2 linked regions of the Rattus norvegicus genome follow. The protein of the gene in region 2 interacts with the protein of the main gene of each other region in a biochemical or structural test. Links are inferred from orthologs where the notes say so. Each region holds a gene or a part of one and is shown on either strand. Other genes may lie near its edges. The genes, in order: Txn1 and Map3k5.

Evidence for each region.
Region 1: the proteins of Map3k5 (region 2) and Txn1 form a complex in vitro, tested with the Homo sapiens proteins (3 studies listed by BioGRID). The link is inferred for Rattus norvegicus from reciprocal best matches to the Homo sapiens genes MAP3K5 and TXN.

The regions. Positions count from the first base shown.
Region 1 is NC_086023.1:77,499,972-77,515,264, forward strand, and holds the end of Txn1 (thioredoxin), read right to left. Parts: intron 14,513-15,293; coding exon 14,453-14,512; intron 8,906-14,452; coding exon 8,840-8,905; intron 7,559-8,839; coding exon 7,496-7,558; 3' UTR 7,484-7,495; downstream 1-7,483. UniProt on the Homo sapiens protein: Participates in various redox reactions through the reversible oxidation of its active center dithiol to a disulfide and catalyzes dithiol-disulfide exchange reactions.
Region 2 is NC_086019.1:16,714,611-16,729,549, reverse strand, and holds the end of Map3k5 (mitogen-activated protein kinase kinase kinase 5), read right to left. Parts: coding exon 14,861-14,939; intron 10,617-14,860; coding exon 10,504-10,616; intron 9,507-10,503; coding exon 9,394-9,506; intron 7,364-9,393; coding exon 7,287-7,363; intron 6,393-7,286; coding exon 6,332-6,392; downstream 1-6,331. UniProt on the Homo sapiens protein: Serine/threonine kinase which acts as an essential component of the MAP kinase signal transduction pathway. Plays an important role in the cascades of cellular responses evoked by changes in the environment.

The sequences.
Region 1 (15,293 bases), on a different chromosome or scaffold from region 2:
AACGTATGAAATATTAGTTAAATATTGCTACATTTAAATTTTTATTTTTAAAGCTGGGTGGTTAATCCCAGCACTTAGGAGGCAGAGACAGGTGGAGCTCTGAGTTTGAGGCTAGCCTGGTCTATTGAAAGAGTTCCAGAACAGCCAGAACTACGAAGAGAAATGCTTCTTTGAAAACAAAACAATTGTTACTATTATTTTATTTTATATATATGAGTTTTTGCCTGCATGTTTGACTGTGTTTCATCCGTGAGCCCAGTGCCAGTATAGGAGAGAAGCAGCCATCAGATCCCCTGGAATTGGAATAGCAGATGTGAGCTGCCTAGTGTGGGTGCCCGGAATTGAACCCAGGTCCTCTGGAAGAGTAGCGCGTGCTCGTAACTGCTGCTTGCTATATGCTATATGTTTTCATTGGACCTAAGCCTACTTAGTTCCAGTGTCGATGTCCACCTACCTGCCCAAGTAAAAGACTGTAACTAGTGCCACGTTTCCCATACTACATCACAGCCTGTGAATGCACCCACCGTTCGAGAGTAAAGTGGAACTTGTGGTATTAGAAAATGTTTGGGGCTGGGGATTTAGCTCAGTGGTAGAGCGCTTACCTAGGAAGCGCAAGGCCCTGGGTTCGGTCCCCAGCTCCGAAAAAAAAGAACCAAAAAAAAAAAAAAAAAAGAAAATGTTCCTCAGCTCTCTGTGCAATTGTTGCAACATTTCCCTAGCCTATGTGTGTGCCTGCATGCAAGTGGGAGCACTCCAGCTAAGATTGGGAGCACAGCAACCTATCAGAGAGTGGGTTCTCCTTTGTAATCCAACTATAAACTAAGACTAAGTTGCTCTCACTCATTGCCATAACCAATGCACCTTCTACACAATTCCTATGTGCACTGTAAAGTCCTGCCCATCTCTCACACGGGGAGCAATCGAATACCATCACCATCAGTCAGAGTGCTCTGCGACCCAGGAGATCAAAACCAGGGCCTAAAAGCTCCAAGGCATCAGGGTGTGGTGGCACACGGCCTTAATCTCAAGCACTTCAAGAGGCAGAGACAGGAGGATCATGAGTTTGGGGCTAGCCTGGTCCTACAAACTGAGCTTCTGGAAAGTCAAGGATATATATAGAGAGACACCCCCCCCCCCCAAACACTCTCCCTACCTCATGCCTACCCTGTCTGTGCCTGAGACAAAACACCATGGTATCATGGCCTATGACAGCTCCACACCCAGTAGATACAGAATTTAAAAAAAAAAATGGAATTAACAACTGAGGAATTGATAAAGGAAATGTGGTACATCTAAACAACGAAATACTATTCATCTATTAAAAACAAAGACACCATGATTTTTGCAGGCAAATGGACGGATCTTGAGAATATCATCCTGGGTGAGGTAGCCCAGACCCAGAAGAACATGCATGGAACATACTCACTTATACGTGGATCTTAGCCATAAAATACAGGACGCCCGCTACACTCCACAGACCCCAAGAAGCTAAAGAAGGAAGGCACAAGTGAGGATGCTTGACTCTCACTCAGAAGGGGAAATAAATTAGTCCTAAGAGGCAGATGGAGGGAGGGAACTGGGTGGGAGAGAGGATAGGGAGGGGAATGGGGTGGGCTCAGGATAGGCGTTGGGAGGGACAGGAGAGATGGCCAGATGACCAAGAGAATGAATGGAAATCTGCAACTGACCGGGGTGAGGAGGTGGGGTCATCTCCAGGAAGAGAGAGAGACCTGGGATAAAGGAGGCACCCAAGAATCAATGGGGGGGGTGTCCTTAGCTGTGACTCAGCACTGGGGATTGGGTCACCTCCTGTAGCCAGGCAGGAACCCCAGTGGAGCAACAGGGACACCAACCAACCCACAAAGCTTTCAACCCAAAATTTATCCTAAGAAATGCAGGCATGGAGGATGGAGCTGGCACTGAGGGAATGGCCAACCAATAACTGGCCCAACCTGAGACCCATCCCATGGGCAAGCGCCAATCCCCGACACTATTAATGATGCTCTGTTATGCTTGCAGACAGGAGGCTCCACCCACCAGCTGTCTCAGACAGATGCAGACACCCACAGCCAAACAGTGGAAGGAATTTGGGGAACCTTATAGAAGAACAGGAGGAAGGATTGCAGCCTCTAAGGGGGTAGGAACTCCACAGGAAGACCAACAGGCTCAACTAACCTAGACCCTTGGGACTCTCAGAGACTGAACCACCAACCAGAGAATATACCCAAGCTGGACCTAGACCTCCCTGCTCATATGTAGCAGATGTGCTGCTTGGTCTTCATGTGAGTCCCAAACAACCAGAGCAGGGGTTATCCCAAAAGCTGTTGCCTGTACATGGGATAAGTTCTTCTAGCTGGGCTGCTTGGTCTGGCTTCAGTGGGAGAGGAAGCACCTAGCTTCGCAGAGACTTGATGTGCCAGGGTGGAGGGATACTCAGGGGGCCCCCATTTGCTCAGGGAGTTTGGGGGAAGGATTGTGGGAGGGATGACTGGGAGGGGGGCAGTGAGCAGGATGTAAAAAAAAATTAATAATAAAAGGAAACTTAAAAAGAATAATGGTGACTTAATTCTTTCAAAATTGTCCCAGTACTTTGTTTTTTGTTTGAGACAGGGTCAGTCTGTAGTAGCCCAGGCTGTGTTCATACTTACTGGGTAGCCAAGGTTGACCTACAACTACTGATCTTCCTGCTTCTACTTCCTAAGTGCTGGGATTACAGGCATGTGGTAGCCACAGTCAGGCGATAATAATAGTTTCATTATTAATGTATTTATTATCAATTTATTATTACTTTGAGTCAGGGTTTCACCAAGTAGCCCAGTATTGCCTGGAACTCATGATTTTCTTGCCTCAGCCATTAATGCTGAGATCACAGGTGTAGGTCACATCAGCTTTAACAAACAGCTGAACTCTGTGTTCTCCTTAATTTTCAACAACAACAACAACAACAACATCACTGAAGTACTGGTATCCAGAATGCATAAAGCCTAAAACTTAACCAGGATGGAGATCTGACGCCATTTTTGTTAAGTGCAGGAGGTTTTGTTTTTAGAAATGTCTCCCCATTGCTCCCAACTTCCCTATGACACCCTGAGTCTGACCATTTATGATTCCACAGATGATATAAAATAGTGTTTGCCTTTCCATGTTAGGCTTAACATCCTTCCATTCTTTCTTGACTAAAAAGGAAACTTCCTTTTACAGGAATCCTTGCTGACTTACAGTCAAGCAAGTCACTTGACTTACAGTAAGTCACTTCACTTACTTTCCACTCATATATTGGCAAACCCACCAAATGGTCACACACACACACACACACACACACAAACACACAGACACACACACATAGACACACACACACAGACAGACAGACACACACAGACACACACACACACATAGACACACATAGACACATACACACAGACACATACAGACACACACACAGACACACAGACACACACAGACACACACACATACACACACACAGACACACACACGCACACAGACACACACAGACACACACACACGCCCACATGCACACAGAAACACACACAGACACACTCACGCACACAGACACACACAGACACACACACACAGACACACACACGCACACAGACACACACAGACACACACACACGCCCATATGCACACAGAAACACACACAGACACACTCACGCACACAGACACATACAGACTCACACACACAGACACACGCACGCACACAGACACACACAGACACACGCACACACACACACACACACACACACACACACACACACACACACACACACACACACACTGCCTCTGACCTCCACCAGTCAGCTCTATGTTCTAGCAAAATTCTTTGGCCTGCCAACATTTCTTTCCTTTCTGTTCATCTTTCCACATTTTAAATCCATGGGTGGTCAGTTTTATTTGTCAATTCTACACAACCTAGAATCACCTGGGAAGACAGTTGCAGCAAGATCCAGCTGGCCTTTGGGCATGTCTGTGGGAGGTTATCTTGATACTGTGGGTGGCGTCATTCCCTAGGCAGAGAGCTTCCTGGACTGCCTAAGGGTGGAGAAAGCAAGTAAGCTGTGCAAAGGTGTGCATTCATTAATCCTATATGCTCTGCTCCTGACAGCGGATGTGACGTGACCATTTACATCAAGCTCCTGCCACCTTGACCTCCAGCAGTAATGAACTGTGACCTGGAATTGTTTGTTGCTGTTATGAAACGCCCAAATGCTTACAGATAAAACGAGACACTCCTTCCTCGGTTACCTCTGTGCTTAGCTGGAATCTGTCCTCAGAAAGCTTTGGCTGATAATTTACATATACACTTGCTTATAGGGATAGGTAGCATGCCTTGTGTCCCATACACACACAATCATACTAGTCTGTTTTTAATATCATTCTGCACTTGGTCTTAGAGACACTTTTTTCTATCTCAGTATGACTAGCATTTACTCTACATACCCTGACCAAAGCAATATAAGGGAGAATGGGTTTGTTTAGCTCACAATGCAGGTCACAATCCTGCTGGGGTCACTGTGGATGCTGTCCATCACTGCTGGCGTCAAGGTGACAAGAGCTTGAAGGAACTGGTCCTATCACAACCAGTTGAGAAAGAGCACGGCACAGTGGACTGATGAATGCGTGCCTTTGTTCATGCTTATCATGTGTGCTGCTCTGGACATGTTTCTGCACAAACAAGGGTGACTTCTTGTAGGATAATGATGTCTGTCCCCAGCAATCTCGCTTCTGTTCCCATCATGCTATAGGAGTTTCTGTTGCATTCATTATCAGTTCCCACTTTGCTCTTTCATTATTGATTTTTTTTTTCTTTTGAGAGGGGCTCTTAGGTAGCCCAGGATAGTTTACCAGGATAGGTGCGCACGACCAAACATGGCTTGTTTCTGGTCTTACAGTAAAGTCTTTGATCCGTGTTGAGTTGATTTTTATATAGGGCGAGATAAAGCTCTAACGTCAGCCTTCTGTACATGCAGCACTTGCTTAGCGTCTGTCCATTTCCCTCTCTGCTTCTCCCACCCCAGCCGATGCCCATTAAGATTCCTCCTGCTCCTCACCTCCCCAAATCCCTCAGCACCATTTGGCCCCCATTTCCGCTCTGGCCGACTGATAATCTCCGTTGTCTCTCCCTATTCTGTGTGTGTCCGCCCGTCCCCCTCTCTAAAGTTGGAGTTCTTTAGGCTCTATCTGGAGCCCTTCACTCTGGATTCTCTTTGATTTTCCCAAATGTTTCTAAAGGGCATCTAATAATAACGTCTTCAGTTCCTGTTCCCGTCCAGCCCTGTGGAACTTTTCTCGAGTGCTGGCGTAGGGATCTAGTTCTGCGCCTAGTGCTGCAGTAAGCGCAAGGTAAGTACCCAGCTACCATCACAGCCTTTTCATTTGAATGTCCGTTCTGAAAGCGTCTGACATTCCTAGAGAGACTTCGTTACCTTCACCTGCTTCCTCTGACCCCCCTCTCGAGACTCAGCACCCCAGGTTTTTAGTTCAGAACCTCAGGATAGCTTTTTGGGTCCTGTTTTCTTCTGGCTGCTTGTTCCGTCCCTACCATCTCCTTGTATCTCTCCCCACTGTCCTCGTATCTGCCCTAGGTACCTGCAGGGATCCTCCTGGCTTTCATTTTTAATCTACATTTCTCATACTGAAATGAGACTCTTTACCGTCACCATTTACCCTCCAATGGCTTCCCATTACCTGTGCCAGTGAAGCCTGGGATGACTGGGCCATGCTACTCCATCCACCTTTCTTTCATGCTTGGATGGATTCTGCACCACCCTCTTCACCTCGGACCCCTTGTGCCTGGTTTCTGCTCTGGAAAGCTGACTCCCTGGCATTTGGCAATTGGAGTCCTTTTCACCTATCAAGTTTCAGCTCGGTCATCTCACAGAACCCTACCCAACCACCCAATCGGGAGCAGGTCTCCCTGTTCTATTACTGTGGCCAGTCTCCTGGTTCTCTTTGCCTCACAAAATGTACCTCATATAGCTGGTGTGTGTGTGTGTGTGTGTGTGTGTGTGTGTGTGTGTGTGTGTGTGTGTGTTTGTACACAATTATACATGTATACACACACACACACACACACACACACACACACACACACACGCCTTCTCTGCTGTGTAAGGAGTGTGCTCAAAGTCTTATTTACAGCTCTATGCCAAGTCCTCAGTGCCTTGGACATAGCATGTCCCTCCAATCATTGACTCCAATATCCCAATTTTATAAGAGGCAAGAAGCCCAGACCCAAGCATTGCCACACAATACGTGGGCTGCTGCTAATTACATTCTGGGGCTACTCCTCTCAGGTTCAAATTCCAGCCGACCCACTGAGCAGCTGGGATGCTGGGAGCATTCCTTGTAGGCTTGCCTTCACTTGGTGAGTGGGGATTCTAGCATCTGTACCAGAAACGGTTACTGCAAAGATGAACGGGATGTCTAGCTTATGACAGAATTCTGACTCTCAGTATTAATTTAACCTGAAAGCTGTTCCTTCAGGTCCCATTCCCCTACTGTTTAGTTTCAGGATGCCCAGATCAGCCTGGAACTTGCTATGTAGCTGTGGATCTTGTACTCCTGACCTTTCTGACCCCACCTTCCCAAGTGCATGGACCATGCCACACCAGGCTTGTAAAACCAGTCTCCATGGTAATGCTTGCAGCCCTGGAGTGGAACACGGAGAATTTGTATTTCAAGATAGGGTTTCTGTTTTAGCTTTGGATGTCCTAGAACTCACTCTGTAGAGCAGGTTGGCCTTGAACTCACAGAGAGAGGCCTGCCTCTGCTGGGATTATCAGCATACACTACCGCAGCCAAGCTCACGGACAACTAGCTCTCACTGTCAGGGTACTAGCAGCTAACTGTAATCTATGGCACAGACATCTCATATCAGACCAACAGTTTCATCATGCGTGAACCACCAGTCACGCTCATAGTCTGGAGCACACAGAGCATGTTTACTGAGGTAAAATAACAAACCCCTTAGACTTTTAATGTAACCGAATAAACAAGAGATTTTCTACAACTAAATATTTAGGTTTATAGGAATGTTTTAGCCACATGTAATGTACATGTGCTCCAGACACACTTGGTTCCCATGGAGCCCCGTAGGGGACATCAGATCCCCTGGAACTCGAGAAACAGGTAGCTGCCATATGGGTGCTGGGGAGTAAACTCAGGTCCTCTGCAAGTCCGGCCAATGTTCCCAACTACTGAGTCATTTCTCCAGCCCGTCATTTAGTCTTAAAGCAAATGGCTTTTAGCAAGTGGCTAAATGTTACTGAAGATCAAGGGGACTAAATCGGGCCCTTTCTCACTTATACTAAAAGACACCAGACAGTTTTAAAAAGGGTAGAATTAATATTTTATTGTCATTTATAATCAGATGGCAGTTGGGTATAGACTCTCCACACTTCATAGGTTATTTTTGCAAATTAAAAAAGGTACAGGTTTTAACCTGCTGGAGCTGGTCACACTTTTCAGAGCATGATTAGGCAAACTCCGTAATAGTGGCTTCGAGCTTTTCCTTGTTAGCACCAGAGAACTCCCCAACCTGTTGAGAGGAAAGGGTGATTAGCCAGAGCAGCGCCTATCCCACCTACTCCGTAAGAGGCTGTAATTGCAGGGGTGGGGACGTAGAAGGGGGAGGTTTTACTTAAGCTCTCTCAAGTAACAGTTTCTAAACAACAAACCAAAGTCAAACCAAAAGGCAAAACTAATAGCAAAAATGAAGGAACCAGGAGAGAAGCCAAAGGGCTCCAGTGCAATTTCCCCCAAAACATAAAGCCCTCTTTCTTCGTAAGATGAGACGACCTGCTGAGGGCTAGGAACATGTGCTCCGTGGTATGATTATGAACCAGCTGTGGAGATTTTGCTACTGCTCTTTAACAGAGACTAATTTTCAATTTGTTGCTGCATATTATGTATTTAGGTTCAGGAAGAAAGACACTGTCTTTTCCTTTTTAAAACAAAGCCTTTTCCAGTGCTCAGGCTGGTCTCAACCCAAGGTGTTTCTTGGGTTCATCCTCCCAAGTGCTGAGATTACAGCACCGTACCCACCCCCACTGTCCTGGATGCAGGCAGTGGAGACCGCCCTTGTGTGGACGTCTCCTCAGTGCTTTCTGCACGTATTATGTGCCTTGGCTGAAGTGTTATTTCTGGTTTTGTTTTAGAGGGGTCTTTCTTGGTAAACCCAGGTTAGCTAGTAAGTTACTATATACCCTAGGCTAACCTCGGACTTGTGGCAAGCCTCCTGCCTTGGCCTCCTAAGCTCTGAAATATAAGCATACAACAGCACACCAGGGTCTATTTGACATGAAACAAGATGGCAGCGCCGTCTCCTGGATGACTCACAGTCTTTGGCCCACTTGACTATTCTTTTCTTTCTTTTCCTGGGTGTTGCTGAAGTGCTTTCTCTGTTTAACAGCCCTGGCTGTCCTGAAGCTCACTCTGTAGACTGACCGTGCCAGCCTCAGAGAGACACACCACCTCTGCCTCCCGAGTGCTAAGATAGAAGGCAGGAGCCACCCCAGCCACGGCTGGTTCTCTGAAACAGGGCCTGACTGCTCTGCAGCACATCCTGACCTGACCCCTCTGCACTCTCCCAGGTTACTCCCAAAGGGCGGGGATCACCAGTGTCTGCACCACACCTAGTCCCAGGTGGTTTGTTTGTTTGTTTTAAAGATGTGGCTCCTCTGGGAAGCCCAGGCTGTCCTGTCCTGCAACTCCCAAGATCTACCTGTGTGTGCCTTTGCCGCCCTCCCTAGTGCTGGGATTAAGGTGTGTACCACCATGCCCAGGTACAGTCGGTGTTTTTAAATCCAGATATACATACCTTTTGACCCTTTTTATAGAACTGGAAGGTCGGCATGCATTTGACTTCACAGTCTGCAGCAACATCCTGGGACACAGGGGAAGGTGGTCGGAAGAGAGGATGAAATCAAGGATTGGAACATTAAACACAGGTGGAAAATTCTGAAAACGTCCCCTTTTCCATTATATGTCCCAAACCTCAGCCTCAGAACCTCTTAAGCACATCAACACAACAGCAGAAAAAAGCCTACCACGTTGCATTCTCAATGAAAACATTTTACTAATATCTACCTCCATTAACAGGCATTAATAAACGGAATGCTAATGCTAAGCCATTCACTGCGCTGTTTAGCTCGACTAAGTTCTTGAATAAGTTTTTCCAATTTTATTACGGGGCAGGGTATATAGAAATGATGACTGTAAGAGCTGGTTAATCTTTATTTGTTGTTTCTGGGGCTGGAAGCTAGTGCTTTGCACATTCTAGGCAAACACTATAACCACACGACATTCCTAACTCTCTGGATAGGATCTTGTCACATTGCCAAGGCTGGCCAGTGATGGAAAAAAGAAAAAAAGAAAGAAATAAACAAGGAGAACTCGACTGCTCCGAGGTATGGTGCAGGAGGTTGATAGTATATAAAAGGTAAACACAGCCAGAGACAGAGACATCTGAAAGGAGGAGGAGGGGTGAGCCAGGAGAGTAAAGGGTTAACAAAAAGTACCAGGTAACCAAAATGGCTGGATTAAATAAGGAAGGACAGCTGGGGGGAAGAACAGCCTAGCCCCTGGGCTGGAGAAGTTTAGGATAGGGTGTGGGGTATGTCAGTCATACCCTATAATACATAGGGACTAAGGGATGCTGGGAGGATCCATCAGGTAGGTGTGGGTTGATAGGCATCATAGTTAGCTAGTTGTCCTGTTGTTAGGTATGAGACCTAACTGCCTCAATTCAAGATTCTCCTGCCTCAGCTTCCTGAGTGCTGGGATGACAGGTGCACACCATGAAGCTGGGATCAGGGTCACACATTGAATTACAGCCTAAAAATTACTCTTAGCCAAGCATGATGGCACACACTTGTAATCTCAATACTAGGGGAGTGGGGGTAGGGGCATGAGGAGTTCAAGGCCATCCTCAGTTACATAGCCACTTAAAGGCCAGTCTGGGCTCTAAGACCCTGTCTTCCAAACAAACAAATAATAAATCATAGACACTGGAAAAGGAATCTTAATGATAACTTCTACGTGTTTATACTCCTACATTTTGTATAACAGCCCCATACAGTACATTTTTAATTAAAGCATCAACAACTTTCTAATAGAGTCTGGAGAGAAGGCTCAGCAGTCAGAAGTACTGGCTGCTCTTGCAGAGGACCTGGGTTTGACAGTGGTCATAACCATTTGCCGCTCTAGTCCCAGGGGATCTGATGCTCTCTTCTGCCCTCCACAGACACTGCACACACACCGGTGCATACGGATGCTTGTAAACAAAACACTTACACACAAAAGGAATGTACCTTAAAAATGCACCCCCCCTCCATTTTTCTGTGTCAAAGCAATTTTTTTAAAGGTGGCATGGTATTTTATTTCACAATATAATTAATTCCTCTTACTGGACTTTTAGATCATTTCCAATTTATGTACGTATACTTATGAATAAATACATACTCTGGGGTTTTAAAACACAAAATGGAACTAGGCTGCAGAAAATTCTACAATCTGCCTCATGAAGAATAGCTGGGGGCAGCCCATTCTTTACTAATCTTATCAACTCATGACCTACCACACATCCTTCTTTACAAAGCGTGTGCTACAGGCACTGTAGCCCCGCCCCCACATATACCTACACCCTCAGATATGGACTTTGTACCCACCTTTTTACCACCCCTCAGCAACCACTGTGTGAATGGCAATGCTCTATTTGTTAAAGGTCTTTTATATTCCCTTCTGTGTGTTCTGGCTAGTTTTATGCCAACTTAGCACAAGCTAGAGTCCTTTAACTGAGGAGAGGGAACCTCAGTTAAAGAATTGCTTCTGTTGCTGTAGGAGCCTCTAGGGCCTTTTCTTAGTGGTTGATGTGGGAGGTCACAGCACACCCAGGCAGGGGGTCCTGGGTGCTGGAAGAAAGCTGGCTAAGCCAGGCAGGAAGCACTGCTCTAGCATCCCCTCCAGCTTCCCGCCTGACTTCCCTGTGATGGAATGTGACCTCAAAATGTAACCAAAATAAACCTTTTTGGTCATGTGTTTCATCACAGATCAAAACACCCACACTAGGGCAATGTGTTTATACCTACGGGGTGTCAGATTCCCTAGAACCTGAGTTTCAGTGAGCTATCTGATACGGGTGCTGGAATAAAACCTGGGTCCTCTGTGTAAGTGCTCTTAACCGCAGAGCCATCTCTTCAGCCCCAAGTGAACCAAACTCCAAGAATTTAATTTGACCTAGAAACAGTGGTATTTCCTAATGCACTTTCAGTCCTCATGAATGAATGTCCCCACACACTGACCTGTTCCTCCCATTCACCAATCCCATAAGCAGAACTCCTGACTGTGCTTTGGTCTCATGACTTTTATGCCATCAAACCCACCAGCCCTGCCCACTCAGGACAGACTTCATATACCCCAGCTAACAAGGCCCCACTCAGGACTGCAGTCTCTTTGCTCAGCATCAAAAGAGAAAGCTCTTTTACAGTGCCTATGACTGCCCTACAAATTTTATCTTCTAGATTTATGTAATAGAGAGTAAGATAGACCAGCAACAGCTTAACTCTAAAAAGTAAATTATTAACATATAGTTAAATAGTCTTGGCTTAAAACAATGTTTTAATCAATGTGGCTAATATATATTTGCACAACTTTTACTAATGTTTCTCTCCCCACTCCTCCTTTGTTTCTAAAAACACAGTCCAGATTTTCATGCCTGTACTATTTCAAAGCATCACCATAAATTCTCTAAATACATTAGCTTCAGACTGAGTTAAATTTAAATTTGGGAGTGCTGACCTTTTAACTATGCCAAGCCAATACCCAGGACTTCAGTAATGCTGGATGACAGTCTCATTATCATTCTAAGTCTTGATTCTGCCCAGTTACTGCTCCAAGGGTTGTAACACCTACACTTAATGATCGGTGGTGTCATGTCAAAAGGGCCTCCATGTTACTTTCTGTGTGGTAGCCATTTCCTTGTTTTCCTATGTGCTATGGGTACAGGCCCAATTGTCCATTTGAGCTGCTTACAGGACTCCCTCCACTCAGGTGTTTAGGGAACTTCTGTTAAGGTTCTCTATGCTTAGGTCTGTAGAGTATGGAACCAAAGTTAAAGGCTTCCATTTGGTCACAGGGTCACTTCAAGTTTCAAAAGACACCCAAGCAGACTTGAAGGTGCTGTCACTCCGTGTCCCCAGCTGTTTTACATGTCTTTGTAGGGGTCAGGACTGAGGCAGAAGGACCTGTCCTTTCTCTGCCTCTGTCATTGCCTGTGCTACTCAGTGACTGTGGGCAGCTCAAGGTAAAACACACACAGAGGTGCCCAGGAGACTTCAGTGACTGGAATTATCAGACAGGGTCAACTGAGCTAAACCTTGGAGGTGCCCAGGAGACTTCAGTGACTGGAATTATCAGACAGGGTCAACTGAGCTAAACCTTGGAGGTGCCCAGGAGACTTCAGTGACTGGAATTATCAGACAGGGTCAACTGAGCTAAACCTTGAGTGAATTTCTCCTGGCTCAGTAACCATATAGCAGTGGTTAACAACTTCCCTATTGCTGCAACTCTTTGATACAGTTCCTCATGGTGAGGTGACCCCAATCATAAACTTAACTAATTTAGCTACTGTACAGACTTGCAATGTAGATAAGTGTTTTCTGATAGTCTTAGGTGGCCCATGACTCAGAACTGTTGTCATAAAGAAGCTGGGGATAGGGTGCAACGGACAGACTGAGTTTGTGAAAACAGAGAACAAGAACTTTTTTCCTCCGATAAGCAGGTTATACTCTCATTTTTCTAACTGTATTAGGGAGTAACTTCCTTAGGCATTTGACTAAGACTAGTGACAGAGGTATCACAACTTGAGTATCCCTTAGTCAAATGCTTAAGACCAGGTATGTTTCAGGGTTTCTAGACTTCATATTTGCACAGACTTCTTTGTTTCGTCCATGATGCCTAACATTCAAAACTGTTTTGGGTTTCAGACCACTTAGGATGTCGGATGCTCTCTTCCTGTGAAAGCAGTCACATCTTACTCTTTAGGAGCCAGGCACTCCATAGGCGTCATAATTATGGTCCTGCTCAATCTGAATAGCCACCTCACTTGTGATGCTGGACCACATGGCCATTTAGAGCATGAAAGTACATCACAGAAAAGCAAGCTGAGCAAGCAAGCCCTCACTGTTAATAAGGTGCAGGCGACCAGCAGCACAGGCCCAGGGTCCACCTCCTCTCCGTACCACTGTAGGCTCGGAAGGAAAGCAGACTAAGAGTGTAGTGTGAAGGGGGGTAAATGAAGCCAGGGTCATGAAAAAGGAGCGAAGCTTGTGACTGGTTCAGTCAGGTAGGACAGGACAGGCCAGGGAAGGGAGACAGCACAAGCAGAGATGGGCCAGAAAGTATGCTGAGAAAAACCAGTCAGGGGATGGCGGGAGCTGGATGTTCGGAGAGGACCACTGAACACCTCATGCGACCCTCCTGAACCTGGACCAAGCTGATGGCTAGGTATGGAGATCTGATTATAGACTGAGAACTGGGGCTGAAGAAGAGGGGAGATTAGCTTGAAGCAGAATCCAGTGAGTCCAATATACTCATGCATCCTTCCCTCAGGCGCCATGATGCTCCATCCCACCTGGGCCTTTCCAGCCCAGTGGCCTGGGTGAGGGGAGAGGGCTTATGCTAAGAACCTGGGGAAGGTATGGGGCGAGGGCAGAGCAGCCACGCTTCCTCATTTTAAACACTGGCTCTGCCAGGGACTCTACAACTGCAACACCCGGTCTTCTGTTTCAGCTTCCCCATCGCTAAAACAGGGTCAACAGCAGTACTAGGGGTGGGGTGGTGGTGGGGTTTATCAATATGTGGAAAGTACACAGAACAGAGCTGAGTGCACAATGGGCACGAACTTCCTAAATAAAACCAGGCTGTGAATTTCCCCCTAAGTTCTCCCAGCTCTCTAAGGCACTAGGGCTCTCTCATGCTTCTTATAATACCAGGGCCCTCTCACTGATTCAAACCAAGCATATGAATAAGAACATTCTTATAATAACCCTGTGGATACAGTCCCCACACACGAGAAGTTCAGAGCTCCTCACAATTCCACAGTGCCACCCAATCTACCATCTCTTAGAGCCAAAGCTGACTTATTTCTGATGATCATCTCGTAGTGGGGGGTAGAATACAGGTCTATGCAGCACAAAGGCCGCATAGCCTGGAAGCGGTCAGATGCTTGCTGTAGGATGTGCTGAACACAGCTTGAATAGCTAGGGTCACGCCCATAACTGGCACAGGACCAACCCTTCTGAAATAGAACTTCTTAGACAGGGTCCCACTTCTAGAATTACTGGACATTTTTTACTTTAAAGAACAGAGTAGACTCCTCCAGAGGACAGGCCACTGGGAGATGCCTGGCAGCATCCGATTTCGTACTACATACCTGGCAGTCATCCACGTCTACTTCAAGGAACACCACATTGGAATACTTGTCACAGAGGGACTAGAAATTTTAAAATAAACCAAGCGTTAGAACTGGATAATCGCATTCTTAAGCTTCTTCAAGAGAGACACCATAGAGATTAAATAAAGATTTATTTAATTTTAGCTTATGTACATGGGTGTTTTGGCTACACAGATGTCTGTATGTCACGTGTGTGTCTGGTGCCTGCAAAGGCCAAAGAGGGTGCTGAATGCCCTGGAAGTTATAAAATGTTGTGACTCTCCCATGTGGGTGCTGGGAACCAACCCAAGGTCCCCTGGAAGAGCAGCCAGTGCTCTTAACCACTGAGCCATCTCTCCAGCTCCATACACTAATTAAAGATTTATTTTAAAAGCCCTTATTTTATTTGTTACTGCACTATTATTCTTGTAAATGTGTACAGGTGTGTGTGTAAGTCCGTGGGCAGCCTCAGGGACTTGGTTCTCCTTCCAGTGTGGATTCCAGGGATCAAACTCAGGTCCTCGGGTTTGTAGGGCAAGCCATAAGTGTCTTTTTTTTCCCCCTTCACTGAGCAATCTCACCAGCTAGGTCTAAAACTTCAGCCTAGAGACTAGGTAAGCATTAGGGACTCAGCTGTGTCTCAGTTAAGTTTTCCCAAGAGTAAAATAATTTGGCACTGTAACTTTGAAGCCCAAATTGCACACTGGGCCCAGGTATCAAATGCGAAGGAAAAAAATTACTTAGGACAACAAAACTTCTGAAAGCTGTCCTCAATGAACCATATTACATAAGCTGTCCTGCTCCTACTTTTAGGTCAGTGACACAGGAGAATAAAGCGAAC
Region 2 (14,939 bases):
ATTAGTACACTGTCTTGTGACTATCTTGTTTAGAAGGACCAGAGGCGTGGGTAAGGCAGCTTTTAAAAAGAAACATTAGCAACGGAGAAACAAATTTCTGCCGAAGCAGGCAAAATAAACGATAAAGCAACAAAATGCTGAGGGGGTGGTTGAGTAACCTACAGAAATGGAAACAGAAGAACAGAGCGGCCTACCGATTCCGCCTGCTCACACAGAGAGTCACGTGCCCACGCTCGGTTAGCTGAACAGATCCAACGATAAGTATGGGGGACAAAAAAAAAAAAGAGTATCAGAACACAATCCTTATTTACAAGGGGTGTCCCTCTAAGCCCAGGATTGGAGTGTATCGCTTTAATTACAGATTTTCTGGTTTGTCCTGGATTCTCCCCAGAGCACCTACAGTGGAAGAGGCAGATTTTTTTTTTTTTTTTTAAAGAGTACACTGTAGCTGTCTTTAGACACACCAGAGGAGGGCATCAGATTCCATCACACGTGGTTGCGAGCCCCCATGTGGTTGCTGGGAATTGAACTCAGGACCTCTCGAAGGGCAATCAGTGCTCTTAACCACTGAGCCATCTCTCCAGCCCCCAAAAACAGATCTTTAAACAGTGAGATGGTCCTACAGCATATTCCAACCAATCTTAACACGCTTCCGGTCAGTAAATATGAAGTCCCAGGTAGGTGGAGGATGTGTTTGTTGGCCCCGGCTTAAGCACTAGCAAGGATTTCCACTTTGTGAAATCAGGAGAGTTTTGGAGAGCTTTCCTCGAACAGCAGAGAGCCTCTCTTAGCTGAATGTAGTTAGTTCAACTATTTGGCAGACCCCTGGAAAAGGAAGGTAATTTTTTTTCAAGCTCCTGATCAAGACAAGACACAAATCAAGACGTTATTCATACTAGATGTTTCTGTTCTCTTGGTGTATTTGTTTAGCTATTATATTGGGTTTCTATATCTACCACTCTTCCAACCCTTATTTCACCCTAATTCCTAAGGACAGGAGAGAAAGGTGGGAGAGGAAGGGGGTATATACCTCCATGGGCCACTTTCTGCTGATTGGTACGTTGTGTTTCTTGCCAGTAAGTCTAGCGAACCAGCTATAACAAAAGCAGCAAAAGAAGGAGCAGCGGCCACCACAGGGTGCCCCACTCTGGACTCTCATTTATACATTCCCCCCACCCCACAACCCCAGAGTGCCTAGAATTAAACTATCTGTAGCTGGCAACAGTCACGCCCCTGCTAGTGCAGGAGGTAGATCATGGCCACCTGCAGTGAACAGCCTCTACTCTCACACCTGGGATTAAAAAAGAAAAGAAAAGAAAAAAAAAAAAAAACCCACATAATGGGGTTTTTAAAGAAGCCAAAATTCTCACTACAACCCACCTTACTCCCTGAGGCAGGAGGATCATCAGGAGCTTGAGGCCAGCCTAGGTTAAATAGTGAGACCCTGTGTCAAAAAACTAAAAAAGCCATCGATGAGTGCTTGGCAGTAGTTGGTCCAGTATGTGCTTGTCCTCCCGTTCCTTCAGTAGTTCGTGTTTTAGTCGATCCAAGTTAAATGCAGTAAGGCCTTGGACTCCTCGTTCCAAACCTAGTTTGCAGTGTAGATGGTTAATTCAGGGAGGGAATGACATCTGTTGAATGTCAGATGCCACCATACTGTCCTTGAGGCTGTACTTTTTGCTAAGGGACACAGAAGCCATCTGCCTGGAGTTCACACAAAGTTCTGATCTCCCACTTCCCCTCCCCAGGGGGAGAGCAGAGCCTCTGGCACCATTTCTTTTCTGCCTCCTTTTCTCCCTATCCTCTGGATACCCCTTCACCTAGGGCCATGGTAACTTACAGTTTTTCTCGCGCATCTACAGTGGCTTCCCAAGTCACAATATCAAGTGCTTTTCTATCAGTTGTTCCCCTGTCTCCTGTCTCCTGTCTCCTGCCTCCACCTCGATGGCTGGGATGGTAGGGGGACGGTCCCTTAGACATGTTGTGGACTAGGATCCTGCATTATTCTCAACTGGTTCACTCCTCACTAACCAGGCTTTACTTCCTCCCCAGACTCCTTTGTTGGTGTAGAACTCTCCTCTTCTGTTTCCTCCAGAGATCTTCATACTCTCCAGAGTTTAAGCCACACCTTCCCTATCTCTGCTTTGTCTCTCGGGACCCTCCACCTGGGTGACTCTCAAGTCTAGAATGTATTCTCCTGACCTCAGTACCAACCTTCTCCAAAGCATTCCTTAGTCTTTTGTGTATGCGTGTGTGTTCGTTCATGGGTGTGCATGTATGGATGTATGGAAGTGGTTGGTCGGAAGGACAGTGTAAACCTTTTGAGACAGGGCCTCTCATTTTATCCAGAGCTTCCTTCTACAATGGCTGGCCAGCAAGTCCCCAAGGATCTGCCTGTCTCTACCTCCCCGGTGCTGGGGTTGCAAGCATGCACACCACCATGCCTGGCTTTGTTTCTGTTTGATTTTCTGTGAGTTGAACTCAGGCCCTCAGTTTACAAGGCGTTTTACTGACTGAAGTACCTTTCCAGCCTATTTGCAATATTCTTCGTATAATACTGTCATGACACTCTGCTATGAATCCAACGGATCCAGATCATCCCGGCTGAGTTCCTACTTGTGACTCTTTCTTACCCATCCAGCTCAGCATTTACCCCATCCTCTCCCTCATCAGCACTGCCCACAGTTCCCAAATCTTTACGAGTCATTCCTGAGGCCCTCGCTTCCCATTGGCATGACTCACGCCGGACCCTCTTCCAGATCTGAGACAGGCTCAGAACTGCCCTGTCAGTTCAATCCCCCTTACACCGTGTCAGTAGATTAGCAATCACCAAACACACAGCCACTTTACACAGCTCTATCTGCTTCAAAACCTCTTTAATAGATTCCCTATTTCCATATAACCCGATGCTAACCTTACTGCCTCCTTCCATCCCTACTTCCTGAGAGGTCCTTGGAACCCTTCATCTTCTAACTTGTGCCACGATCATTTGAATTTCTGCCCAATGGGTTTCACTCATTTTCCTCAAAATGGTTCAGATCCCCCTCTGGCCTTTCGAATGCCCGTGTTCGGCCCTGGTCCTGACTTAGTATAACTACTGAAAGGTCCAGGTTAAGATTCTACATGGAGTATGTCCTCCTGTCCTGGCTCAGTGGGCTTTACCCTCTGAACTTGACTAGTGACAGCTGGGATTAACACTTGCCGAGCCTATGAGATGTGGGAAGATTTATTGCAAACCCAGGTCTTCAATGCATATTTTTGACGGCAGAACCATAAAGTCTGGAACGGTGAGTTATTTGTGCACAGGTTGAAGTGTCCTTGCTGACATCATGTACTTGTGGTGGGTGTCATTCATTTCTCTTCTATGGTGCTACAGCATCTCTGTCATCAGAGCCATTTAAATGGGGTTCTGGAAAATCCATTCTCTCTTAAAATAGAGGCACCGTCAACCCTGCATAACTTTCTATTCTAAATATCTTCCCAGGCTCAACTCAGCCTTGAAAAACTTTTCTTGATTCCGTTCTGGCTTTCGTATCCATAACCCTTCCTATGCTCTTGAGTCCTCTCTGATGGTGGAGCCTGGGTGGTAAGAACTACCTCTTACTCATATGCCTCAGCATGGCCTCTCCAGTAGCATTTACCCGGTTGTGTGCACGGTGTGTGCAGAATTCATCTTGCACACTTGTGGAGGCCTGAGGACAACTGTGGAATTGCTTCTGTCCTCCCACTCTTGTGTGAGTTCTGACAGATCATCATAGGCTTGCATGGTGAACACCTCTACCCACTGAAGTAGTCATCTCATTGGCCCTCAGTATTGATCAAATGCTTCTGAGTGGCAACGATCCCAGGATGGGCAGCCCCTGGGCTCTTATTGTATGCCGGGCATTCCCTAAGTACCTTGCCTGTGCTGTCCTCAGTTCATTCCTAGAACAACCCTTTGAGGAAGGCACGCCGTTTCCCCATTTCACAGAGGAAGGAACTGAGACAGAGAGGCGAATTTGCCAAAGGCCCAAGTTAGGTGAGAGCTTCCTTCTGGGCTCCACACTTAACAGTGAGGTAGCTGCCTCACTCCCGCCCCGCCTAGGAGAGGAGCCGTGTCTCACTTTGCTCTTCATTGGACCCAGAAATGAGGTATGATTTGATCATCACTTGATGGGGAATTTAAAAGATGTGTTTGGTGCTTTATTTTTTTAAAAGATTTATTTTAAATTACGTATATGTACATGTGTCTCCTTGTGTGTATGTGCATCTGAGTTTAGGTACCCATGGAGCTGGAGTTACTGGCTACTATAAGCTGCCTGATTTGTGGATCTGGGAAGCTGGTCTTAACCACTAAGCCATTTCTCCCGTCCCAAGGTGCCTGGTCCTTAAAGCCTTCTTGTGGTTGTGTATGGTGTTGCTGGATTGAGCCTACAGTCTCACACAGGGCTAAGCGAGTGCTCTGTGATATTACTAAGTATCTAGGTCATCTGAACATGAATCTAGGTCGAGAAGCCCGGGCATACTGAAGGTAAAGTCTTTCCTAGTACAAACCTTCCATGAACCTTAATCCACAATGGTAGGTGATCTGGGAACACAGTGTGTGTTAGGAAGGCTCGAGACAAGGAGACAGAAGCAGAGTGGGGAGGGAGGCAGAGAGACAGACAGACGGACACTGGAGGTAGGGGAGAAGGAAGGAAAAACTATATGAAGGACCGGTTGAAAATGGGTAGCTTGCTCCTATGTACACACAATATAAAAGAAGCACTTAAAACATTAAAATTAATGAGACAACCTGCGTCTTAATGCAGAGGATCTGAGAGACTAATGATCTGTCCTCAGGGGTGAGGTGTTTTCTTTCTTTTTTTTTTCTTTCTCTTTTTTCTTTTTTTTTCCCCCCGGAGCTGGGGACTGAACCCAGGGCCTTTCACTCGCTAGGCAAGCGCTCTACTGCTGAGCTAAATCCCCAACCCCGGGGTGAGGTGTTTTAAAGAAGATCAACCCTGTTGCTGTCAATTGAGAACATTTTCAAGAGAATTATTTTATATACTCAGATGCAATATGACACATTGTACTTTTATTTTCACATAGAAATAAAGGCCATTTCTCTTTTATTGGAGACTTTTCTATGGGTCAAATCATGACACTTGAACGCCTCTGCATTGTTTCCATGCTATGGAATACACATCCCTGTGTATATAGGAAATTAATTTTATTTATCTACCTAGGAGCTTCACACCTCGTCCTGGCTACAAAGGAAGGCTCATAAAAATATAATATTTGGCTCAAAAAATTTCCCCAGATGTGAGAACCACATTAAGGAGACAGAAAAGACAGTGGTGTCCATTAGGATCCTCTTGCAAACCACTTTGAGATATGGTACAGTGTCTTACTTTTTCAAGGTAACTTGGGGTCATGGGGAAAAGACATCGAGTTTAAAATATTCACCGCTCTCTTGCGCCCCCCCCCCCCCCGCCCCACACCCTGCTGTCCCCAAGGGACAATCTGGATCCCAACTGTCCTTTCATTGCCTGAACAGAATCACATTCTATTCGATGTCATAGATGAAAGCAAAAGAAAAACAAAACAAAACAACAACAACAAAAAAAAAATTTAACCCAGTCATTTAGTGCATCAGCACAAAGTAAGAATTCTCTGGACTCTGTCAAAGTAGCATTCCGGCAATCTTTTTACTTTTCTGTAAATATGACACAACGGATAGCTTTAGAACAAGCTAACATCACTACGATCCAGGCATGTGCTAGTGGTACCGTTCAGTAGTACATAAACCCCTCCAACAAACACACCCTAGGCCAGAAACAAGTTACAAAATACAGTCAATATGACAATTAGTACAGAGTAGAAACCATTACTCTTAGATTCTGCCCACTTAAAAAAAAAAAAAAAACAACTTTATACAACGACTGAAATGATGCCTTTCTGCTCAGACACTCGGGCACTACACACACAGAGAACCCTAAAAAGCCGTGGTCACATTTTGGTTTTGTTCCAGTGGTACGCAGTCACACGAAACGTTCTGTCTTTTCCGTGGTAAACACCGGGTTGAAATGGATAGCTGCTGACTGAAAAACCTCTCCGTCAAAATGTGTAGGCTAAAAAGCCCCGACATTACAGCTCTAATAAGGATTGTTCCGAAAAGTCCGTAGGAATTTTGTAGAAATGGAAGTTAGGAGATTTCAGTGTGTCTTATCTCTTTCTTTCGTTTTTGAGTAAACAAATACTGGATTTAAAGTGCAGCTTCTTCCTCGCCTCCCCTCGACTCCTCCTCCCACAAGGAGAGCAGTTCTTTATCAGTGTTCAGAATCTCCAGTCAAGGTCACCCTGGTGGCAGTCAGGCCCCTTTGTTCCGAAAGTCAATGATGGCCTTCCACAGCGTGCACAGCATCCCTCCCCTGTTTAAAGACAGAAGAACAAGCTGAAGAAAGCTCTCACTTGGAAATGCCCTTGAGAGGGAAAAAGGACTTCTTCTCGTTCAGCTCCTTTGGTGAGCGGGAAGACCCCAGGTTTAACAGGCTTCACGTGTTCCGTGTGCATAGTATTTCCCACCACCCTTCTTCAGTCCTTTCCTTTCCACCACGGAAAGTGTCGAGGACAAAACATCATTTTACATTTTGAGCATTTTTCCAATGTGATCATATATACATACATACATATACATATATACATATATGTGTGTGTGTGTGTGTGTATAGTTTTTTTCAAGACAGGGTTTTCCTATGACGCTCTGGCTGTCCTAGAACTCGCTCTGGAGACCAGGCTAGCCTACAACTCATGGAGATTTGCCTGCCTCTGCCTCCCGAGTGCTGGGGTTAACAGCATGTGCCACCACCACCCAGCAAATGTGTCTATTTAGAGATGGTTGCTAAGTTACGGATCTACCTGGACCAGAAGAGAAAACTGACAAGCAATTGTACCAGATGATACAAATCGTTCCAGCTGGTAAGTAAGTAACCACTCCCACTATTTTACCAGAGGACCACAGGCTACCTTAAAGTTCTTCACGGAAGCCTGAATGGGATCTGCGTGACTTCGGTCTGCAGTCTTATTTAAGAAATCCCTTCCCGTTGACTGTCCCATACTCAACAGAGATACTAGTTATTAAGAGTTTCCCCACATAGCCTCGCCCAGCTAATTTAGCTTAGCGTGAGGGTTGAGAACCAGACCCAGCCCTTGCTGAGCCGCAGCGCTGGTTAGAGACCCCCCCAGGGCAAGGACCCAGACTTCCTGTTGTAAACTGAGGGTCTTTCCCTCGTGGTAACCAAATGTAAGAGGAAGAAAAGCAATACCTTAGTCGGAGGCACTTCAAGTCGTCACGCGTGACGTAGTAAAGGACATCCACCAGCGTGTAATCCTCAGCCAGAAACTGCCGAGAGAGGGAAGCATGCACACGGTGAGCTGCATGTACCGTGAAGGAAGAAATAAAATGTGCCCACAAGGCAAGCGTTGCTAATAATCAAGAATGAACCCAAAAGGAAAGCCATTATTAAAAACAACAACCCTCTGGAATTAGCAGAGGAAAAGCCTTCTGACTTCAGCCTCAGAAAGAAACACGTCGATGTGATTCCCGTTGCTCACAGATTAGAGGTGACGCACGCAGGCTTAATCCTGCTTGTCGTTATGCACGCAGGCCACTCACGGCTCGCATCGAACAAGTCTCGTTCTCCATAGCTCTTTGTTCCCAAGCAGTCAGACAGTATTCTTGGGACATTATTGCCTGTACATAGTCTCTAAACTTACTTTCCTTAGCCGGCAACACAGACCTCCCTGTAATTCCCTGCAAAGCCAGTTCTGGGTGGAAATGGAGCTTTTAATTATAGCAGCTGAAAGGGAAGATGACTTAGCGGGTCACTGTTTCGTCTCCCTTGGTTGTGATTTGAGCCCGAGAGGATAAATATTTTGGAGAACTTGGTCAGGTGTATGGTTTTCCCCTAGTGACAGAGTTACTTTGACTTAGGTAGCAGTAAATTGTTAAATGTATGTCTCTAAGGAGACCCTAGATTTTATGTCGTTCATATATTGCAAAAATAAAAGTTTATTTTGGTTATTTAAATGTATATGCATACATCTGAAGACAGTATGGTATTATTAAGAGGTTGTCTTTTCTTGCAAATGGAAAATACAACAACTTAAAAAAGGGAGTTTTTATTTCTAACTGTGTAAGGATGTGTGTTTGCACATGGGTATGTGCTCAGAATGCAGGCATGTATGGGCTCCAGGAGAGGGCACTGGATCCTCTGGGGCTAGAGTGATAGGTGGTTTTGAGCCACCAGATGTGGGTATTGGGAACCAAACGCCAGTATTCTATAAGAACTGTACACACTCTTGACTGCAGAGATCTCTCTCCGACTCTCAAATAGTACACACACACACACACACACACACACACACACGTTATACATGTGATGTTACGTCACGTGCTTTACATGCTAACTGTAAGAGTATGGTGGTGAGAGAGGAATTTGCTGTAATAGACACAATGTGGTTTGCATAGCGAGTATTTCTGACATAAATTCCCCAGCCACATCTACTTTTGTCAAGTAGCAATGAGTAGCCACTGCCTAGCAGAGCTAGTAACACTGCAAAAGAATTAAAAGGTTAAGGAGTAGCAGCAGAGGGAGCCATTTCCCTTGTACTCCTGTTCATTCCCTGCTCTTCTTAACTTCCCTTCTGTAAACAACAGAATCCTTAGAGGCCATGAAAAACTATGCGGTATCCACTTCCTTGCCTTTGTGCATCCCCCACCCCATGGAGAACAACTTCCTTTCCTGGTCTGTCCTGTCCCAGTGTATACAGTTGGCCAACTTTATAGTACGTTCTACCTTAGAGTCACTCATTGCACTCTGGGAGAACCTTACACATGCACACATGCATGCATCCACACACATCTCCACATACACCACATATACCATACTCCACGCACATGCATGTACACACCACAGAAAAGCACAGCACACACACTGACAGACACACACACACAGAGACACACACAACCACATACGCGCATATACGTACCACACACACGTATGCAGATATACGACACACACCAGACACATGTGCTCACACACCACACACATGCACATACACACCACACATAGACAAGAACACCATACACACAGACACATGTGCACACATATACAACACACACATATGTACACCACACAGACCCATGTGCACACACACACAGAGCCCTGCAAACTCCATGTCAGAATTTGCTAATGTAAGACTGTTATTTTGTTTTTTTTAAATCAGGGGAATTCATCTGTCTCTTGTAATGTATGAACCTCTGTAGGGTGGGACTGGCTCTGACTCGCTGAGAAGTATGTCTCCCGTGCCTAAGGTGCCAGTACATAGAGAACTGAAATACCACAGGTCCCACAGATAGCGCCTCTTTACCCGACTTATAGTGTCTTCGTCAGCTCCATTTTCCCTCAGCCAGCCAGTAAGTTCAGAGTCTTCAATGGCTGTACCAGGAGCGTTCAGGTGGCACACGGGAAACCCAGGGGTATCTAGAACCAAACGTGGGGAGAATCTTTAGTTTCACAGAAGCAATGTAGAACCCTCAGGATCCGTGGGAATTTTGTGCTCATTTTAAACTATTAAAGGCTGTCAGAGACTGACTAATAAAAAAGAACAAGTTAGCTGGCTACATGACAATATAAATAAAACTCAGACAAGCTAATTCTACCAGTAAATGGGAAGTCAGAAGTCACACTGTAATAAAATGTACTTTGTACTTTCATATAATTTCTTAAAACTAACTCTGCGTGCACCGATCATGCCTTGTGGTTTTCCTGCAGCCAAGAGAAATAGTTAGCAGAGTACTATACAATTACAGTCTCTTTCTTGACTATTTGTAATAATACAGAAGGGCCAAATAGTAAACAAGGAAGGGCAGCTACAACGTCCCAATAATTAGCCAATGAGATTCAGCTGTGAGTTCTCCTAATGCTTATTCCTTCCCTGTTTCAAACGATGGCCTTTTCTTACTGTAAGCTTATCTTATGGACGCCACTCCAGATTTGAAAGGAGGAGAGCCAGAATATGCTGACACAGAGTAGCATTGTTTGATTCTCGCGCTCTCACTGTGAAATCTTCTGACTGTTTTTGTTTTTTCTTTTTTTTTTCCCACAGACAGGGTTTCTCTGGGCAGCTATGGCTGACCTCCAACTCAGAGATCTACCTGCCTCTGCCTCCCAAGTGCTGGGATTAAAGGCTTGATCCACAGACGCTGCCAGCGTTGTGAAATCTTGACAAGGACTAAAAGAGGGGAGAATCTTGTTTACCTCAATAATGCATTATCTCTGAAAGAGTAGCCACGAGCATGCATTTCTGTTGTGCTCATAGAAGATGAGCAGTTACTAAAGTTAAGAAGGAGATCTTTAAAAAGGACTTCCAGCTGGTGAGGGGAGGGGCAGCTGCCTGCTAGCCTTCCCAGCCTTCTGTGGCAGCCTGGTTGAGCAGGCGTGCCTAAACGGGACAACTCTGAAATCCTCTGCTGCTTACCTATGGGTTGGGACTTAAGTCTCAGGTGCTTAATTTCTTGGTCCTTTTCTTCAATGGCTTGATGAAGGAGTGCCTGCAACTCTTTCTCTTTCCGAACCAACTCTTCAAGTAATCTGCGAGAGAGACTCTGGTTGGTTGACGGGATAAGAAAGCAGGAGGTAACAGTGCCTTTCTAAGCTCGGCCTTCTTTCCCAAGCTACAGCAAGCATAGGGATTTTATAGAAATAAAAGAGTCAGTCGTGGGTACCAGTGGCTCTGGTCTGAAGTCAGGGAGTGCATGTGTCATGAGCTCTCTGTAGACAAGTCTCCGACCTGTGGAGACTTGCAATCATCCTTAAGCTATGAAAATTTGAGGAATAACTTAGGCGAGGCTACCTCTTATATCGGGCTCAATAAAAGTTAATGGTTATTGTTACAATTGTAGCCATTACTGCTATCTTCTTCCTCCCTTCTTAGGCTGGGTTAGGCTAACAAGCATTTAAAAGCACAGCCCCGTTTCTGGTACATTCAGTTCTTAAGGTGGGTCTGGTGTGGTCCCAAAACGCAAAGATAAATTCTGAGGTTCTAACATGACTTCTGCCTGTGGAAAGCCCACTAGCAACCAAGAACCAACCAGTGGCCAGCTCGCACTGTCCAGCCTGTTTCTGTGAGGAATCACTACACAGCTTACAGGAGCTGGTGTCCTGGCACTACCTGGGTAATCCTTATTCACAGTTCTGCATATAATTATAACGTATATAATCATTGGGGTTGGAAAGATGGCCGAGTGTTGAGGAGCACAATGTTATTCTTGCAGAGGACCCAGGTTTGATTCCCAACACCTACACGGCAGTCCACAACCACCTCTAACTCCAGTTCCAGGAAATCTAATACCCTCTTCTGACTTTGAGGGCACCAGGCACACACGAGGTGCATGGGTATACATGTGACCAAAACACTCATACACATTAAGCAAATCTCAAAAAATAAAATACATAATTATTAAGGCCTTTAAGACCAATTATTAAATAGCCCGCAGCTCTTGGCAAGCCAGCTCTGTTTCATTTTATGACCACTGATAGATTTACTTCGGGACCGTGCACAGCCAAATGCTGGTTTCCTTCCGTTGACATGCTGAGCAGACAGCATGCTGTAACTTCGAGATAAGCCTGCACCTGTAGACTGCCACACACTTCCTGTGTTCATCTTAGACACTGCCCAGTGCCTCCCGGCTTCAGTTTTCTTGTTCGTTAGGAAACTCCTAGGAAGGATTACTGTACGAATTCCATGAGACAACATATATAAGTAGAGGCCCCTAGCTTGCGCCCCAAGATCTCCTCCATGCAGGACCTAAAGATGAGGCCCTCGTGAAGGAGATGGGTCACAGCAGAAGTGAGTGTAGAGGTGGGACAAAAGTGAGGCACAATAAGAGAGAGAGGAGGGCTAAAGAAGATAGGTAAGCAAAGAGCCCTGCAGAGAAAATCCTGTGCACGGTTAGATGGGTTAAACAACGGGGGCTGAAAGCAAAGGGCCAAAGAGAGACTTTGTATCAACCCCAGCAGGTGTGGTGCCCCAGTATGGGGAGCAAACTCTGAATGGATTTTCACTGGGCGATTTTGGTCTGGAATGTATCTTTGTCTACCCTGCTGATTTACAGAGAGCTAGGAAAGGATGGCATATGGCTTTCTTACTTGCTATGTTTTATCTTTTGTGTCAGGATCTCTCACTGAACTTGGAGCTCACAGATGCAAATTGATTGGCTGGGCACCAAACCCCAAGGGTCTTCCCCAGTGCTGGGATTACAGACAGGTGACACTGTGTCCAGCTTTTATGTGGCTGCTGGGGACTGAACTCCTGCTTGCATAGCAAGCCATCTCTTCAGCCCCTAAGCTTAAGATTTTTAACACCAGAGTTTCCCCCTTTCCTAAAATACACCCACATCTCCTACACACACACACACACACACACACACACACACACACACACACACACACAGAGGCAGGCATGTACACGCGCGTCTTGTATCTGCTAGGCAAGCACCCTGTCATTGAGCTACCCTCCCATAACAACATTCAACTGGAGATAAGTCCAGGTAGTAGCCTATCGTCTCTGTACTTGGGAAGTAGGGGCAGGAAGATCAGGAGTTCAAGGGTATCCTTACCCACATACCTAGTTCAAGGCCAGCACAGACTATATGAGACCTTGTATAAAAGGACTGAAAAAAAATTTAAATCTTAAGAAATAATAATATCCAACTGAATGTTCAAAAGGTCTAAGATAGACATTATCAATCCCTGCGTATGCGCTCAGTGCTGTTAGTAAACTGTCTGCCCTTCTTCTGATCATTTGTAAAGAAAATGTTGAATCTCACCTTACATTTCTGATGGTTTGGGGAATTTAGAAAAACCTAAAAAGGAAAGAGGAGGCCAGTAGTCCTTAGAGTTCACAGATTCAACTGAGAGAGTGCAGAGAAAACACAAATGTGTAGATTATGACAAAAAGGTAGCTGTGTCAGAGGGCAATACAAAACATGGCGGATCCCCTCTATAGAAATGGATAGATTTCGGAAAGCAAGACTTCAGGTTGAGCCAAGAGGACCTGAGAAAGGACCTGTGACCAGATGAAGAAAACTGGGGTTCCGGGAAACTGCAGATGTCATAAACATGGCAGACAGAAGACTGTGCTGGACAGTGAGGTGAGCTCGAGGCAAAGCAAACAGGCAGAGGAGAGGAGGGAGAACTACATGCACTTCTGAGATGTTTAGAAATGTAGGTCCTACCCACAAGCCCAGGAGGACAGGCAGAGGTTTGAGGGACAGACAAGCAGACAGAACAGCTCTTTGGTAGCGTTCCTGCAAAACTATTCTGACCAGAAACCATGGTAGGTAGGATTGGAGCAACCCAGTAATTCAGGAGGCTTCCCCCTCCAGAAACCAGAGCAGGGGTTCCAAAATCAGGTGTAGTCAGGACTGAGTGGCCGGGTGAAGCAAAGCGATCCAGTCTGTGGCAGCTACAATGAAGGGTCAGAAAAGGCACAAGGCAGAGCTGTGTGTCAGAGGACAAGGCCGGCGTGTGGATTATCAGAGTCACCGCCACCATATTCGAAAACATCTCCCCCACGAAAATCACCAGCGATAAGCAGGTGAAGTTTAACTTTTAAAGCCTTAAACTTACAGTAAGAAATATGTCACCTTCGTCACCATGGCGGACAGCTATATCTTCAACTAAGGTCTCTAAATATTTGACCGTCTTTTATTGATTCTCTAAAAAGTTTTCATTGCAGACTCAGAGCCATAAAGCCAGTTTCCCACATGTCAACAGGGACCGGTGCAGGAAGCTGTAAATCACAAGTACTCAGACTTTGACCTGTGCCACCGACTGTGAAGAACAGGAGACATTCTTGGGTAACTGGATCAGACAGGTTCCAGGGCACCCGATACGTCACGACGCAATCACAAATGTGGCCAGGAACCGTCAAGCTCCTGAGTGCGAACTTTAGTCCTGTCCCTTTGAATACAGGGCCTTTTTACTTTTATTTTCTTTCTTTTTTAAATACATAACTAACTAACTGCTGCTGTTTTGGCATCTGTGATAGCTTTTTTTTTTTTTTTAAGATTTATTTATTTTATGTATGTAAGTACACTGTATCTGTCTTCAGACACACCAGAAGAGGGCATCAGATCTCATTACAGATGGTTGTGAGCCACCATGTGGTTGCTGGGAATTGAACTCAGGACCTCTGGAAGAGCAGTCAGAGCTCTTAACCTCTGAGCCATCTCTCCAGCCCCCCAGGGGCTTTTTCTTTTCTTTTTCTTTTTTTTTTTTTTTTTTTTTTTTTGGTTCTTTTTTTCCGGAGCTGGGGAGGGGCTTTTTCTTAAAGGAATAAGATATCCCAAGTCATGGTCGATCTCTGTCTCCAGGAAGGACCGGACTGCCTGAGTCTGTTTCCAAGAGGGTCCCCATGAGGTCACCACTCAGTTATTCTGTAAATCCCAGGGTACCCGGGGTAAAGCAGCAGGTAAGTGCTCGAAAAGCACCATTTTACAAGAGGCTCAAGTCAACCTCTGGTATTTGACACAGAAAAGCAGTTAGCTTTCTGAGCAGGGGTGAGAGGACCATCCTGTGTGGTCTGTGGGTCAGAATTTTGTTTGTTTTTATATACAAGGTTCCTCTGTGGCCCGGTTGTCCTGGAATTCACTCTGTGGGCCAGGGTGGCCTTGAACTCAACGAGATCTACCTGCCTCTGCCTCTCCAGTGCTAGGGTTAAAGGCACACGTCACCACACCCAGCCCCGTGGGTCAGACTCTTTAAAGTAGACCCGGATTATTCACTGTTAGAGGAAGGAGAAGAAAAGAAACGAGCCCGCACCCTCCCGTTACCTGTTAGTTTCCATCTTCATCCTCCCAAGCTGCACATTCAGCGAGCGGTGTGCATTCTGGGAATCATGGGATACGGTGG